Linked DNA regions of Daphnia pulex. The protein of the gene in region 1 binds, or shares a complex with, the protein of each later gene. Links are inferred from orthologs where the notes say so. Each region holds a gene or a part of one and is shown in the gene's direction. Other genes may lie near its edges.

What was found. Proteins that work in one complex are often made in the same cells at the same time.
Region 2: the proteins of protein prenyltransferase alpha subunit repeat-containing protein 1-like (region 1) and geranylgeranyl transferase type-2 subunit beta-like are in contact, whole or in part, in a crystal structure (PDB 6O60), measured with the Homo sapiens proteins. The link is inferred for Daphnia pulex from reciprocal best matches to the Homo sapiens genes PTAR1 and RABGGTB. Residues at the interface, in NP_001093136.1 of Homo sapiens: Val61, Lys62, Leu65, Pro66, His69, Leu73, Arg76, Leu97, Asn98, Asp100, Phe101, Thr102, Thr103, Asn106, Lys109, Glu110, Leu113, Ile141, Arg144, Trp145, Pro192, Ser193, Tyr195, Ser199, Ile202, Trp203, Gln206, Val231, Ser232, His234; in NP_004573.2 of Homo sapiens: Lys6, Asp36, Tyr37, Cys40, Met41, Glu43, Tyr44, Ile89, Gly90, His91, Asp92, Asp136, Trp138, Glu140, Phe177, Asp178, Gly182, Cys183, Arg184, Pro185, Gly186, Ser187, Glu188, Ser189, His190, Gln193, Trp217, Glu221, Arg222, Pro225.
Region 3: the proteins of protein prenyltransferase alpha subunit repeat-containing protein 1-like (region 1) and synaptobrevin homolog YKT6-like are in contact, whole or in part, in a crystal structure (PDB 6J7F), measured with the Homo sapiens proteins. The link is inferred for Daphnia pulex from reciprocal best matches to the Homo sapiens genes PTAR1 and YKT6. Residues at the interface, in NP_001093136.1 of Homo sapiens: Glu31, Gly33, Leu34, Ile35, Pro36, Val48, Val50, Glu51, Lys53, Leu54, Gly55, Ser58, Lys135, Tyr191, His225, Ser228, Met229, His230, Val231, Ser232, Asp233, Phe298, Asp301, Leu302, Ser305, Tyr306, His309; in NP_006546.1 of Homo sapiens: Met1, Ser29, Phe30, Phe31, Asn83, Glu84, Pro86, Gln131, Asn132, Pro133, Arg134, Gln180, Phe184, Arg189, Ser193.

What each region holds. Positions count from the first base shown.
Region 1 is NC_060019.1:9,416,214-9,420,603, forward strand, and holds protein prenyltransferase alpha subunit repeat-containing protein 1-like, read left to right. Parts: upstream 1-1,906; 5' UTR 1,907-2,000; coding exon 2,001-2,107; intron 2,108-2,208; coding exon 2,209-3,148; 3' UTR 3,149-3,241; downstream 3,242-4,390. Other genes in the region: mucin-17-like, read right to left, coding at 3,852-4,018, 4,179-4,322.
Region 2 is NC_060019.1:10,893,958-10,898,379, reverse strand, and holds geranylgeranyl transferase type-2 subunit beta-like, read left to right. Parts: upstream 1-1,551; 5' UTR 1,552-1,769; coding exon 1,770-1,772; intron 1,773-1,854; coding exon 1,855-2,163; intron 2,164-2,223; coding exon 2,224-2,382; intron 2,383-2,450; coding exon 2,451-2,557; intron 2,558-2,627; coding exon 2,628-2,734; intron 2,735-2,805; coding exon 2,806-3,122; 3' UTR 3,123-3,181; downstream 3,182-4,422. Other genes in the region: sterol regulatory element-binding protein cleavage-activating protein-like, read left to right, coding at 1-1,219; uncharacterized protein LOC124191180, read right to left, coding at 3,620-4,049, 4,121-4,268, 4,334-4,422. UniProt on the Homo sapiens protein: Catalyzes the transfer of a geranylgeranyl moiety from geranylgeranyl diphosphate to both cysteines of Rab proteins with the C-terminal sequence -XXCC, -XCXC and -CCXX, such as RAB1A, RAB3A, RAB5A and RAB7A.
Region 3 is NC_060026.1:12,910,745-12,915,238, reverse strand, and holds synaptobrevin homolog YKT6-like, read left to right. Parts: upstream 1-1,857; 5' UTR 1,858-2,081; coding exon 2,082-2,274; intron 2,275-2,343; coding exon 2,344-2,444; intron 2,445-2,503; coding exon 2,504-2,674; intron 2,675-2,742; coding exon 2,743-2,880; 3' UTR 2,881-3,253; downstream 3,254-4,494. Other genes in the region: UBX domain-containing protein 1-B-like, read right to left, coding at 350-578, 640-1,128, 1,192-1,389, 1,478-1,530; Golgi apparatus protein 1-like, read left to right, coding at 3,557-3,778, 3,856-4,021, 4,080-4,213, 4,273-4,374, 4,437-4,494. UniProt on the Homo sapiens protein: Vesicular soluble NSF attachment protein receptor (v-SNARE) mediating vesicle docking and fusion to a specific acceptor cellular compartment. Functions in endoplasmic reticulum to Golgi transport; as part of a SNARE complex composed of GOSR1, GOSR2 and STX5.

The sequences.
Region 1 (4,390 bases):
GCGCTGATCGAACTTGCAAGGCGCATGATTCGATGAATACTTTTGGAGGGTCATGAGTCTAAGGCAGCTTTTTATGATTAATCGCTCTCGTAATAACTGTTACACAACTTTTCGCTCTTTTACCCGTTACTCTTGTCCACGACCGGGTAATATACCTGGTCCAATCAATCAAGTCAGGGGGAGTCGACTACAATATGTACTGAACGGATTGTTTATTTAATATTAATGTAAAAGTGATTATTGGAATTTGTTATAGTTAACAATATTTTTTTTAAATTATGATTCTTACATAAGAAAGCCTGTTGCTTACTTAACCACGTTGACACAAAGTTGATATTTTTTGGGCGCAGAAAGCTTTTTCTTCTGACAGTTCTCGCTTATTTCAATCTGCATAGTCGGAGACACAAATGACAAATAGTCGCAAATATTACAAGCCAGTAAAAATCAACATTATCAACATTCAAACTTGGTGCAACAATAACAACGGCACCACAGACAGCATGCAGCAGCTCAATTTTAATTGGTCAAACCTTTCACCAGCTGGCTGCAACAAAACACCGTAATTGCAGTAGCACGGCAATGAATTAGTTGATCTCCACCGAAAGCTGTTAAAACAAAAAAATAATAATTAAAGAACATAACTCGGGTGACGAAACATTTGCAACAGTAGATATTTAAATTATGCAAAATCATTAAAAATCTTTTGGTATAATATTTAAAAAGTTACACAGCTGTCTAATTAATCCACATAATTACTTTTGCTTTGGCATGAGGCGTACAGCCAGTACAGGCAGCAAGTGAAGACATCTACAAAATCAACGGCCGTCAGGCAAGGTCCTCAAACAATTTGGCCCAGTGCTATATGAGGCACTGCATATGCATTATAACACATTGAAGTATGATATGTTTAACTGCAAGTCTGCACAAGCTCCATTGAAGTGCATCCCTCAACTGGAAAAGGGCAGCAAAACCACTGCACAACGAACAGCAACACCAAACTGACCATGTAATCCTACAAAGGAAAGTAACATTAACACATCAATAACATTTTCCGGTGGAAAAGGAAAAAAATATTGATAATAAAATTTGCAAAGAAAAACCAAAAATACATGCAAGTCATGTTTAACTTTGGCTTACAACTGTAAAATGAATGATTCAAACACTTAGTAGTTAGTTAAGCCAATGATTTACTTGAAATGTACACTAAACTAGAAGATGACCGAAGACCAAATTAAGTTTTAAAGAATGAAGTGGATTTCTGTTCCGTAACATGAATAAAAATTTACAACTCTCCACAAATTTACTTAATTTAAAAGAACTTTCCACAAAAGCTCTTATTTAGAAGCATGGAATATGATGTCACTTGTCTCCAACATTAAGAACAACATTGCTAACCTACCTGATTAACTTACAAGTACAATATTACCTTTTCAGATTTCCACTTTTCATCACATTTTTTTGTCTTGCAAATGGCATATGACCCTCTCAAAGAAGCATCTTCATAGTTCATGACAAGGCAGCGATCACGTGGAGAAATGCAGAACATCTTCCGACATGCTTTCACAAGATAAATTGACGTAGATTAGAAAATGGACCTTTCAAAAATTTAAAACTCTCACGATTCACTTACTTGCTTTAGAATTGTTCTCTTTCGATTCAGCTTGGTCGAATGGCGTGGATATTTATATCTCATCATCTTTAAAATGTAAAAGCGAAAAACAGTAAAACACCGTCATGAAGCTGCAACACGATTCCGTCCGCTGTCTCAAAGGCAAATGGATGGAGGCATTTGGTTTGGTTTCAATCTAAAGTCTGAAGCCGACGATAACATATCGATAAATAACTAAAAATCGATACTACAAATTGCGATTACCAGAGCGGGCAGAGCTTCTGTTTACTAGCGCCACTTGAACTACTCTGGGCAATAATCGATGATGCAGTCGAAAAAAGAAAAAGAAAAAATTGAGAATTTAACGGCTGTTTTTGACAGATTTTGAAGGATGCAGCGAGATCCTTCCGACTATAAGAAAATGGCTCACGATCCTTACTGTTTAGAAGAAAGGATAATATCAGACCTTCAAGCTGTTATGAAAAAAGATCCCAACTTGTAAGTATAATTTAATGGTTTTTCTGCAACATCCTTTATGGTGATCAACACCAACTGTTTGTAAACACTAGTTTTTATATTCATTATATTTTTGTTGACAGAGATGAGTTTGATGTTGTTCCAGTAACAGAAGCCAAAAATCGATCACCAATCATCCATATTTCTCACAATCTTGGAATTGAAGTTTGGTGTGTAAAGACGGTTTTCATGTACTGCTATGAAAACAGTTTCAAATTGGATCCCATGTGGAAAAAGGAGTATTTGAGATTGGAAAGATACACAAGAGTGGCATTATTGCTTAATCCCAACATAGCTACATTGTGGAACACGAGAAAGAGATTGATTGCCAATCATCTCTTGGATGGCGATTGTGATTTCCTGCTCAGCAAATTAGTACTAAGTCAAAAGCCCAAATGCGTTGAAGCACTTTCTCACAGGCGTTGGCTACTCCAGCAAGTGTCTATAGACCCACAATGGGTGGAGACAGAATTGTCTCTGTGTGATAGGCTCTCCAGTCGCATGAAATGCAACTACCACGCTTGGTCTCACAGACAGTGGGTGTATTCTCACTCCCTCAAGCTGCAAGGCTTCAATCTCAATCTGTGGGCGTCTGAATTCGAGATTTCTGACGTTTGGACAAAGTTTCACTTGTCCGACCATAGCGGTTGGCATTATCGAAAATTCCTCCTTGATCATTTCAGGCAAAATTTAGGCAAAATTGAACAGAACATGGATATCGCCCGGAAGGTATTGGGCGACTCAACCGGTACAGCTACATCTTCCCAGCTCTACATGAACCTGCTGAACGAAGAACTGCAAAAGAACCAAGATTTGATCTTAAGTTTCAACGCCCATGAAACGTTGTGGTACTATCGTCGATTCCTTTTGCAAGCCGGGACAATAGATCATTCAGAGAGTCTCTTCATCGAAAAGTGTTGCAATCCCGCTAAAAGTAATAGCAACTCCGCCAACAATGTCGACGCCATTCAAATGAGATATTTGGAGCATCATCGACGATGGCTGTCTGATTTCTGTTTGTAAAATTTGACTAATGCTGCTGATTTAGGATCCGTTTGTTGTGTATAAAGGTTACTATAATAAAAACCATCATCCAAGACGGTTAAACTATTTAAACAGAGATACGGTTTATTTATTTCGTTCAGCTTGTAATCGTTGTTTCATTACAGTAATTCAGATAAAAAATACCACGCAATCCAGGCTTGAAGGCTTGAAGCTATAAAACTTGGTGAATTGGTATACGTATTAAGTATATACAAATTGAATAGGAGACGAGCCCAACACCTCAAGTGTAAAAAAAAAATAATAATAATAAGAGAATCAAGAAAAGAAGCAGTCAAGAGATCAACTATAATGCTAGTATAAAACTGGGTGGAGGAGAAATAACTTAAAAAAAGGATCATCGTAAAAAGAGAGGAGATTGCGTAGAGTCGAAGGCGATAAAAGACGGTCGCCAGATTACCTTTAATTAAATTACCTCCGCAGTTGCATACAAGAAAGAGGAGAGAAAGCTAACAATAAAAAAGAAATGTGTGTGTGTGTATGTGTGTGTGTGTGTAGGGAGAAGAAAAGGAGGTGCACCGGTTTGTCGTCGTGAAAGTGTGTTGTGTGTTGCATTATTATTTTTGTTTTTTTTTTGTTGTTTTTGTTTTTTAATCCTTTTTAATTATTTGTATAATATTCCCTCTTTCTTCCTTCTTCGTGTCGTCGTCCTCCTCCGCTCTTTTTACGAGGATGTAATCTGCTGACGTATGATAAGGGAGACGGCGCCGTCGGGCAGCTTCTTCATCAAATTCCAGGCCTCTATCCTCGACATGGACCTCACATCGCAGTCGTTGACTGAAATGATTTGATCGCCAACGCGCAGTGTGCTGTTCTTGCTGGCCGCACCCCCTGCCAAAGCCATAATCAAAAAAAGAAAGGATAAAGAAATGATTTTTTCAAAAAAAAAAACATATGAACTCTGTAATTCGTATTATTTGCATAGGATATGCCTCTTTTCTTCTTCTCTCGTCTTCATCATCATCTCATCTTCATCATCGCTAATGATTACCGGTGAATATCTTTTTAATGGTGAGCGGACGATCTCCCAGCGGTGAATCCTTGCCGCCTTCTAAACTGAATCCCAGTCCGGCGCCCTCCTTAACCAGCGTCGCTTGCACAGGTGGTCCACGACCAAGGTCTTCATCATTGGACGCTGTTTGGTATAAAACACAAAGAATAAGAAGAAAACGGATGAAAATAATGAAGAAATTCAAACTGCAG
Region 2 (4,422 bases), about 1.5 Mb from region 1:
TGCCGTAGCTCAAATTGATAGAAACACTTATTTCGCCGCTTTTCAGCAACAAACGTCGCCGGCCTCTCCCAATTTTCCACGCCACGATACTTACTCATCCACTAACGAACTGGGCGGACTGTTGAGTCACGCCGTTTCTAATCCGATTGTATTTAGATCCCCGGGCTCGTTTCATTCTCCTCCGGCCAGCCCTAACAACCTGTCTTGGAAAGACAGAACTAGTCCAACGAGAAATAATAAAACGTCTTACTTTCCATCGCCCGTCTGGTGCATGCAATGCTTCGATGGCCAAGTGGCACTGGGCTGTGCCAACGGACGCATTGAAATTTGGAGCCATAATTCCGGTTTGCGTTGTCTTTACGACGACGGCAGTGGTGTCGGAGTGGCCAAACTCAAAGTTTGTGGCGAGTATCTTCTAGCTGCCCGATTGAATGGAGTCCTGGAGTCGTTCCAGTTTCACGCCGATTTCGACAGTCCTGTGGAAGATGTCAGCCACCACGTTCATTCTCGTCGTGGCGCCGACGAGTACGACGAAGAGGACCGATCATCTCCATTAGCTTTCCGTTTGGTCCGGCTCAACTGGGCTAGAGCTCACCAACAGCCCATCTCAGTGTTGGACGCTTCGGCTAGTGGCAGCCGCGTCGTTACGGGTTCGCTGGATCATTGCCTCAAAGTCTGGCGACTGGAAACCTTGACAGCCCTCTACTGTCTTCACGGGCATCGCGGACCCATCACGGCCATGTTTATCGACGAAGCTTACCCCTGCAGCGCATCGGGAAGCGGAAGTCAAGACGGAATGCTGTGCATGTGGGATCTCTCCAGCGGGACTTGCGTCTACAGTTTGCAGGCTCATGACGGTAGCGTGTCCGTCCTGACTTACACCTCCTCGTACGTCATCAGCTTGGGCGCCGATGACAAGCTGTGCGTTTGGGAGCGATTTCAGGGTCATCTGCTCAATTCTCTTTCCTTGTCCCGTCTGGCTCTGTGCGGCAGTTTAGCTATGCTCAATGATCGGTTACTTGTCACCAGTCGGCAAGGATCCCTGGTCGTCTGGGATGTCCGAACGGGAGAATCGATCCGTGAAGTTCGTCTTGGCGATGCCGACTCGAGTACTTTTGTTCGTAACGTCATGGTCGTCAGAGACAACGTCATCTGTGACTACGGAACGCAGCTTCGCATCGTTTCTTTCCCCATGATTTCCACCCACAAAGTCGAGTAAATTATTGTGAAAAATTGTTAGCTTTTTTTGGTCTTTTTCCTTCCCTTTTTTTCCCCCTTTTTCCTCAGCCTTTTTCATTGTCTTTTTCAGATTCTCTTTTTTTCTTTTACTTTAGCGTGTCACATGTGATTGGGTTTGTGGATGACAACATAGAGGCTATTGAATTCTACAACAAAACATACCAAAACTGTTGCCGATTGAATAAACCGACTTTTTTTCATTGGAATTTGTTTATCCTAGAGATCATGACTTCATTTACGTAAAAATGGTGTCTTCAAAAAATTAAAAATCTTCATTATGTCTTATAATTTCGATGGCGCTACTGTCGCATCGAAAAAGATCCGTCTGCTAGCCCCTTAACAGTCAGCTGCTCATGCTGCTTAACTTACGTCAAAGTGGTCTGTGTGCCTGTGTTTGCAAAATAAATTTTTAATTTCATTGTTAAGAGTGAAAATCCACCAATCCATAATTTTTGGATAGCTTGGAACCTATTATCCACTACCCCTTGCTACCCCTTAACCATTCCCGCGTAACAGATATAATTTCAATTATGGTACGTATATTTAGATGATTATTTTGAGGAAGCCGGTCTCAGTTTTGATATGATAAATGGTTTATTTGAACATGTGAACTAGGCCCTTCTCATGAACGACATAGTGCTACCGAAGGAGGCTGATATACCTAATCTGTTGCTGCCAAAGCATGCAAGTTTCTTGGCAGCATATGGAAACAATAAGGATGATTATGAATTTTGTATGACAGAGTACTTGAGAATGAATGGAATCTATTGGAGTTTAACAGCAATGGATTTGATGGGCAAACTTGGTGAGATGGACAGAGATGGTATTATTTTATTTATAAAGCAATGCCAGCATGAAAATGGAGGTATAGGAGCTAGTGTAGATCATGATCCTCACCTTCTCTACACTTTGAGTGCTGTTCAGGTTGGTAATGAGAGTTGACTCACTTCATATGCATCTGAAAATTGAATTTTTTTTCTTCAGATTTTGTGCCTGTATGATGCACTTGATGCAATCGATTGTGAAAAAATTGTGAATTATGTCAAAAAGTTGCAAAATGATGACGGAAGTTTCTGTGGTGATCAATGGGGTGAGGTTGATACAAGGTTCTCTATGTGTGCAGTTGCATGCTTGGCTCTTTTGGTATGTGGATTTACTGATTGCAATTTTTTTATGATTAACACATATTTTTGTACACATTTTTACTCCAGGGAAGGCTGGATGCTATTAATATTGATAATGCAGTAAATTTTGTAATCTCATGTATGAATTTTGATGGAGGGTTTGGATGCAGACCTGGCTCTGAAAGTCATTCTGGGTAAGTTCTAAGTTGAGATAATTACAAAGGAAGAAATAATACTGTTTCTTTTTTGTGGTTACCTTTTCAGTCAAGTGTATTGCTGTGTTGGTATGCTGTCGATTACAGGTCATTTACATTTGATCAAAGCTGATAGCCTTGGCTGGTGGCTATGTGAACGGCAGTTGCCGAGTGGCGGTAATTACTTTTGTTTTTAGAAATCTTTCAAATAGACGTCTCTTAAACTATGTAACTCAATTGTTATTTAGGTTTGAATGGTCGACCAGAAAAATTGCCGGATGTTTGCTACTCTTGGTGGGTAGTTGCGTCTTTGCGGATTATTGGGCGAGTTGATTGGCTTGATAAGAATCAGTTGAGAAAATTTATTATGGCCTGTCAAGACGTCGAGACAGGCGGATTTAGTGATCGCCCAAATGACATGCCCGATCCATTTCACACCCTCTTTGGTTTAGCGGGTTTATCTCTTCTCGGTGAATCTAGTCTTAAAACTATTAATCCTGTATTCTGTATGCCACAGCAAGTTATTTCCCGGCTGAAAATTCAACCACAGATGTTGTCGTTATAGCAACTTTATGAATTATTGCTTTAATTGTCCTTCAGAATACAAAAAAGGTTTTTGCATAATCGACATCTAACACATGCAAACTACTGAACAAGTCATGCGTAAAACGTAATCTATTTTCGGCACCAGTATTTCCATTACAATGTTGGTTTAAAACAAATTTCAACGTGTTTGGTATCCGTTTAACTCTAATTTACCTGATTTTTTAGTTTCCCTTTTTGACCAGAGATTAAAGGGATGTTCCAACCCTTTTGTTTTTAAATATTTTAGGTGGTTCAGTGGAAGAAATTTTATTTTCTGAGAAATACGCCTTCAAAAAGTGTAAGTGACAACTATTCTTAAACATAATTTATTTTTCATCAAGTGGATTGCAATATAAAATTTGTCAATATTTCTAGAAAGCTCAATGATAGTCTATTCAACACAATAACCACTTTTTGTACCAATCACCACGAGTATGTTTTCGCGCATCTTTAATTGGCATATTTTCCATCCAAATCTTAGGCTGAATGAACCTCGCCTGTATATGCTAAATTGTCTTCTCCAAGGTCTTCTCCATTTTGTTGATATTTGATTGCCTCAATGTTTGAGGGCTTGGAATCGCTGGTCTCAATTGCAGGAGATTCATCCGAAGAAGTTTGGTATGATCGTGAGCGCCAGAACTTCACGGAGCCCGAAGATATTTTTGTCGAATTACTGGTGGCACGTGAAGCAGATTCCTTGATTTTGACCACACGGTCCCTAATCATTTTGTAAACTTCGGTTTTGCAAACGAAAAAGTAAAACATGGCCGGTCCGATCAACATGTAGAGAGAAATACTGAAGATGAGCAATTCGGGAGTGGCATTGTCTGAATCGACTATTTCGTGAACGATTCTCGGTATCGTGTAAAACTGCATCAGTAAGAAGAAACGGAATATCGTCGTAATCCTGCGTAAAAAAAAGGAACGGTAAGCAACATTTGTTACATCACCATGAAACTATTCATATTTAGATATAACCTTTGTTTTTCCAATTTGCTGAGAGCCACGGGCGAAACAGAAGTTTTAAGGAAACGGAGACTTCCATGAACTTTAAGAGCGCTTGGAATGAAGAAAATCAAATTGGCCGTCACCAGAATGACGTTCGGTGTGCTCAGTAAATGTTTGACTGAAAAATAATCCATGTGTGTTAATTTTATTATTGCAGGAAGAAGACGAATAACTGAAATTTACTTATGGGATTTCCAAACCAACAAAGACGGACAGGTGGTCCCAAACTATCACGATAAATAACCACAGCCATTTGTAGTACGAATGGCAAT
Region 3 (4,494 bases), on another chromosome or scaffold:
ATTATGTTGTAATAACGAGCCCTAGACAGGTATAACAAAAACCGCTATAACCTTAATGGAACGGCGGGTGATACGCGATTTGTTAGTAGGAATAATAAAACAATCATTCGAAGGTGATGAGAAACAGGTGTAGGTATCTATCAAATCGTGCAAACATCAAATTTCAAAAGATGAGAAAAAAAATTAAGTAACTTCGTGACTCTTACAATCTTATGTGTAATTATTTCTGAAACCCGCCTCTTTCTCCCCCAACACACTCTTTCACTCGCTCGACTTTGTTATCAGATACAAATACAAATTAAATCTCAAGATGAGATAAAAAAATTCGTTTTTCAGTCTTTTATAATTCTCATGCTTTTGATACCATCAAAACAGCACTTGGAACTAATCCTAGCACATCGAGTGGCTTCTCGAACTCTTCTTCGGTAAATACTTTTCTAGGAAAATTTGTTTGAATCCGAAATGGTTCCGGCACTCCGGCATTTACATCGGTCCTATTCATTTGAATGAAGAGACGAACTGAAGCTAGCTGCTCCTTAGCACCAAATGTTTGCGTCATTGTCGATCCATTTGGAAGTCTGGAAGAAATAATAAAGAGTTATGGAAGAGGGACTTGCGTCATCCAGAATGATTTATAACCTTATTTGGATTTTCGTCTCCTTATAGTCCTTGGGCTGATTGGGTGTTGTCGGTGCCGGAGCCGGAGCCTGAACTGGAGGAGCTACATATGGCGTATTGGTTGCGTCACCGGCTTTCTGTTTTCGTGCCAATTTATCTTGTTCAATTTGTTCTTTCACTCGCTGTCTGGCTTTTTTCTCTTCTTCTTTTTCGCGCCTCCGTTCTTCGGCAATCTTTCTTATTTCATCCTCTTCGAATTTCTTTTTTATATTGAGAAGCTCCTTGCCTGACTGTATTCTTCTTTTTTCTTGCTCCAGTTGTTCGGCCTTTTCTTTCTCTTCACGTTCTTTGCGCTTCAACTTCATCAACTCCTCCACTTTCCTCAGTTGTTCCTTCTTTTCTTCTTCAGTGAGAGGCTTCTTTTCATCAGTAGATTCTGAAAACTGGCTGTGACCGGTTTTCGCAGCATGAAATTCTACCTCTTCATTTGTGCGAAATAGTCTATTACATCTAGAGGAAATTTTAAAAAACATATGTAAGAAATTCAATGGTTGACTTGAGTTCCATACTTACTCATCACATTTAATAGATTTGGCAGTAACAGCAGCCATTTCAGCATTTGATGCTTCAGGTTGAGCAGCAGCATTTGGTTCTTCCTCTTTCATTTCTTGATTGTTGTCAGTTTGTTGATTGAATTTCTCACTGTTCACAATCAACCAATCCATTGCAGCTTCAATATTTTGGTCTCCAGTTTCTTTAATAGCCTTTTCACTTTTCAAATTTCAAAGAAATATAACAAAATATTAAGTTGCCATTTAAAAAATATAAAAGGTATGAATTATTTGGAATTAAAACTTACGCTAACTGTTCAGAAAATCCCATTTCTAGTAACAGTTGAAGATTTGATGACATTTTCGGTATTTCGTTCTTCGAAAAACAACAGAACAGAGGTATGTCGTCCGACTAGCGCTAGCAATGTCAGTATGTTATTAAAAAAGTGACGATGAAGCCTCTTCTGTTGGTGTGATTTTGCCCCAAAGATTTTTGTAAAATTTTGTGTTTTTTGTATTGAAATTTACATTGAAACCAAATGTTTTATTTCTCAAATTATTATTAATTCTACTAAAAAAGTGTTTACTTTCTTGCAATTAACTATAATTCAATTTAGCAATCTGATTAGCGCCAAATTAGCGCGGGGAAACAGCTTATTTTACGTTTATCCGCTAGAGGCGGTGTATTCCGATGCAACAAATGGGTTCTTCGGCCATTCCCGTTGTTTTATTGAACTTTTTCTCTTGTTGGTTGTCACTTTTTGCAGACTTCTATCGGATCGGATTTAACCGCTTCTGAGGAAAAACTCAAGCCGTCCACTTGAACCTTTAGTACTAATTAACAAAGGCCTCTCCACTTATCAGTAAGACGATTGTTGGAGGATCTTATATTTACTAGTCAAATCTAGAAAAATGGTGAAGCTGTATTCTTTAGCGATTTTACATCGCAGCGAGCAAGGGTCACCACAGCTACTTAGAGCGGCTTACGACCTCTCAAGTTTTGGATTTTTTCAACGAAGCAGCGTTCAAGAATTTATGGCTTTCACTGCCAAGATCTTGACTGAAAGGACAAGTGCTGCGTCCAGACAATCGGTGAAACAAGGAGGTATGTATGCAAAGAGTCATCATAAAACTCAATGTACATTATAAATTAAATGTTATTTCTTTATTGCAGAGTATATGTGTCACATTTATGTGAGAGCAGATGGACTCTGCTGTGTTTTGACGGCAGATCATGAATACCCACAGAGGGTTGCTCATACCTTGTTAACCAAAGTGAGTGCTACTTGTATGTTGGTTGAATTGAAATGATGAGATATTCTTAATTACAAAAGGTGCTTGATGATTTTGCTGCTCGGGTGGAATCATCTCTTTGGATAGAAGCAAATGCTGCCTGTGCAGCTTATTCTGGATTAGAAGCATCTTTGGCAAAATATCAAAATCCCAGAGAAGCAGATGCTCTAACTAAAGTTCAAGATGAACTAGATGAGACTAAGATTATTTTGGTAATTTAAGTCTTAAAGTTTCAATCTGTTTTAATTTTTTTTTAACCAGTCATGTTTGATTGTCATAGCATAACACAATTGAAGCTGTATTGCAAAGGGGTGAAAAACTGGATGACCTTGTATCAAAATCTCAAGGACTGAGTGATGCATCAAAAATGTTCTATAAAACAGCTAGAAAAACAAATTCATGTTGCAATTTTGGATAAGTTCTCAAGAAATGTTTATTTGATCACATTCTTGGAATGGTACTATTACTTTATTTTTTGAAGATGGTCATAATTCACATTCCTGAATGAGTTGAAATTGAAAGACATATGGTACAGTTATAAATTCATTTTTAATTTTTGAAGGGTGCCCAATAATTGCTGTGAACTTTTCTGTCCCACTCTGTTCCCGTTATGCGACAGCACTCATTTTCTGTTTCTCATAAATGTATCATATCGTAAATGATTGTGACGCTAATGTTAGGTATTTCGCTGACGTTGCATGGATTGTCGTCTCTATGATTTCATTTCACAGCTTACATCTGTGCCGCAGGTCCATCGATGTAAAAGAAATAAATTCTTCTTAATCAATTTATCAATTTGTCGCGTTCGTGGTTTATATAGTTTTGTTGCTCAAACCGATTCAAACGTAAACCGCTGAGAAGATTTTTTTTAAGCGGTACTTGAACAAGGTGGTTGCAGAAACCTATAAGGTTCTTGGGCAACAGATGAGAGATGATAGCGAAAGCGGAACAAACAGTAGACTGTGTGACGCGGCTGACGTCTGCTGTGGTCCCTGAATATGTTCATTCTGACCAAGTGTGGGATGTGACTGTTCTCTAATTCAATCTTAAAAATAAATTTCAAATCAACTGATAAGTAGTGACTGGAATAGAAGATGTTATTCCAAGGTGTTAGTTTTCTATTAGTGACCTTAACAACTTTTATTTCGGTTGGAGCTTTGGATGTCACCGGAAAAATTGCTACGAACCCGGTTTGTAAAGACGACGTGACACGTCTTTGCAGCTCTCAAATTCTTCCAAATGATTTGGCTGTTCTTGACTGCCTTCAAAACAGGAGAAGTGATAGTGATTCTGATATCAAAATAGAATGTCATTCTGTATGTTTCTTTTTTATTTTATTAAAGTACTCATTTCAGAATTAAAGGTTACATTTTTAATTTTTTTCTTTTTATAGTTCCTTTGGCAGTTCAAACTAAATCTAACTAAAGGTGACCAATTTTTGGAAGCTGCTGAAAAAATGTGCTCTGAAGAGCTGAAAAATTTGGAAGAATGCAAAGACCAATCGCTTGAAGGCCATAAACTTTCTTGCCTTCTTGAAAACTCTGACTCTGTTGCCCAAGGTAATAAATGATGGCAAAATGACAGAACTATGGTTTAAATGTATCTCCTTAAACTCAGGGCAATGCAAATCATTTCTTGTGAAAATTGGTTCAATCATATTTAGCGATTTTCGCTTGGTTGAAAAATTCACCACTGCCTGCCAGGATGATATTTCCAAATTCAACTGTGGCCGGCTAGATTCTGAAGAAGAAGTATTTCTATTTGTCAATAATTTAAAATTCATTTCTTTATGTCATTTTCAAATTGATAGAGAGACCACAAACAAGGATCTACGATTGAATGTTTGTCGGAGCATGTACGAAATTTGACTAAAGAATGCCATTTACAAACGTTGCGGGTTGCTGAACTCCAGGCAAATAATTTTTATTTCCATTATATTATTAGCCAGTTTACGTTATTTTTACAAATTAATAGGCGGATGATTATCATTTGGATCGACCACTTTTTCTCGCTTGTCGAGATGATCGTGAAA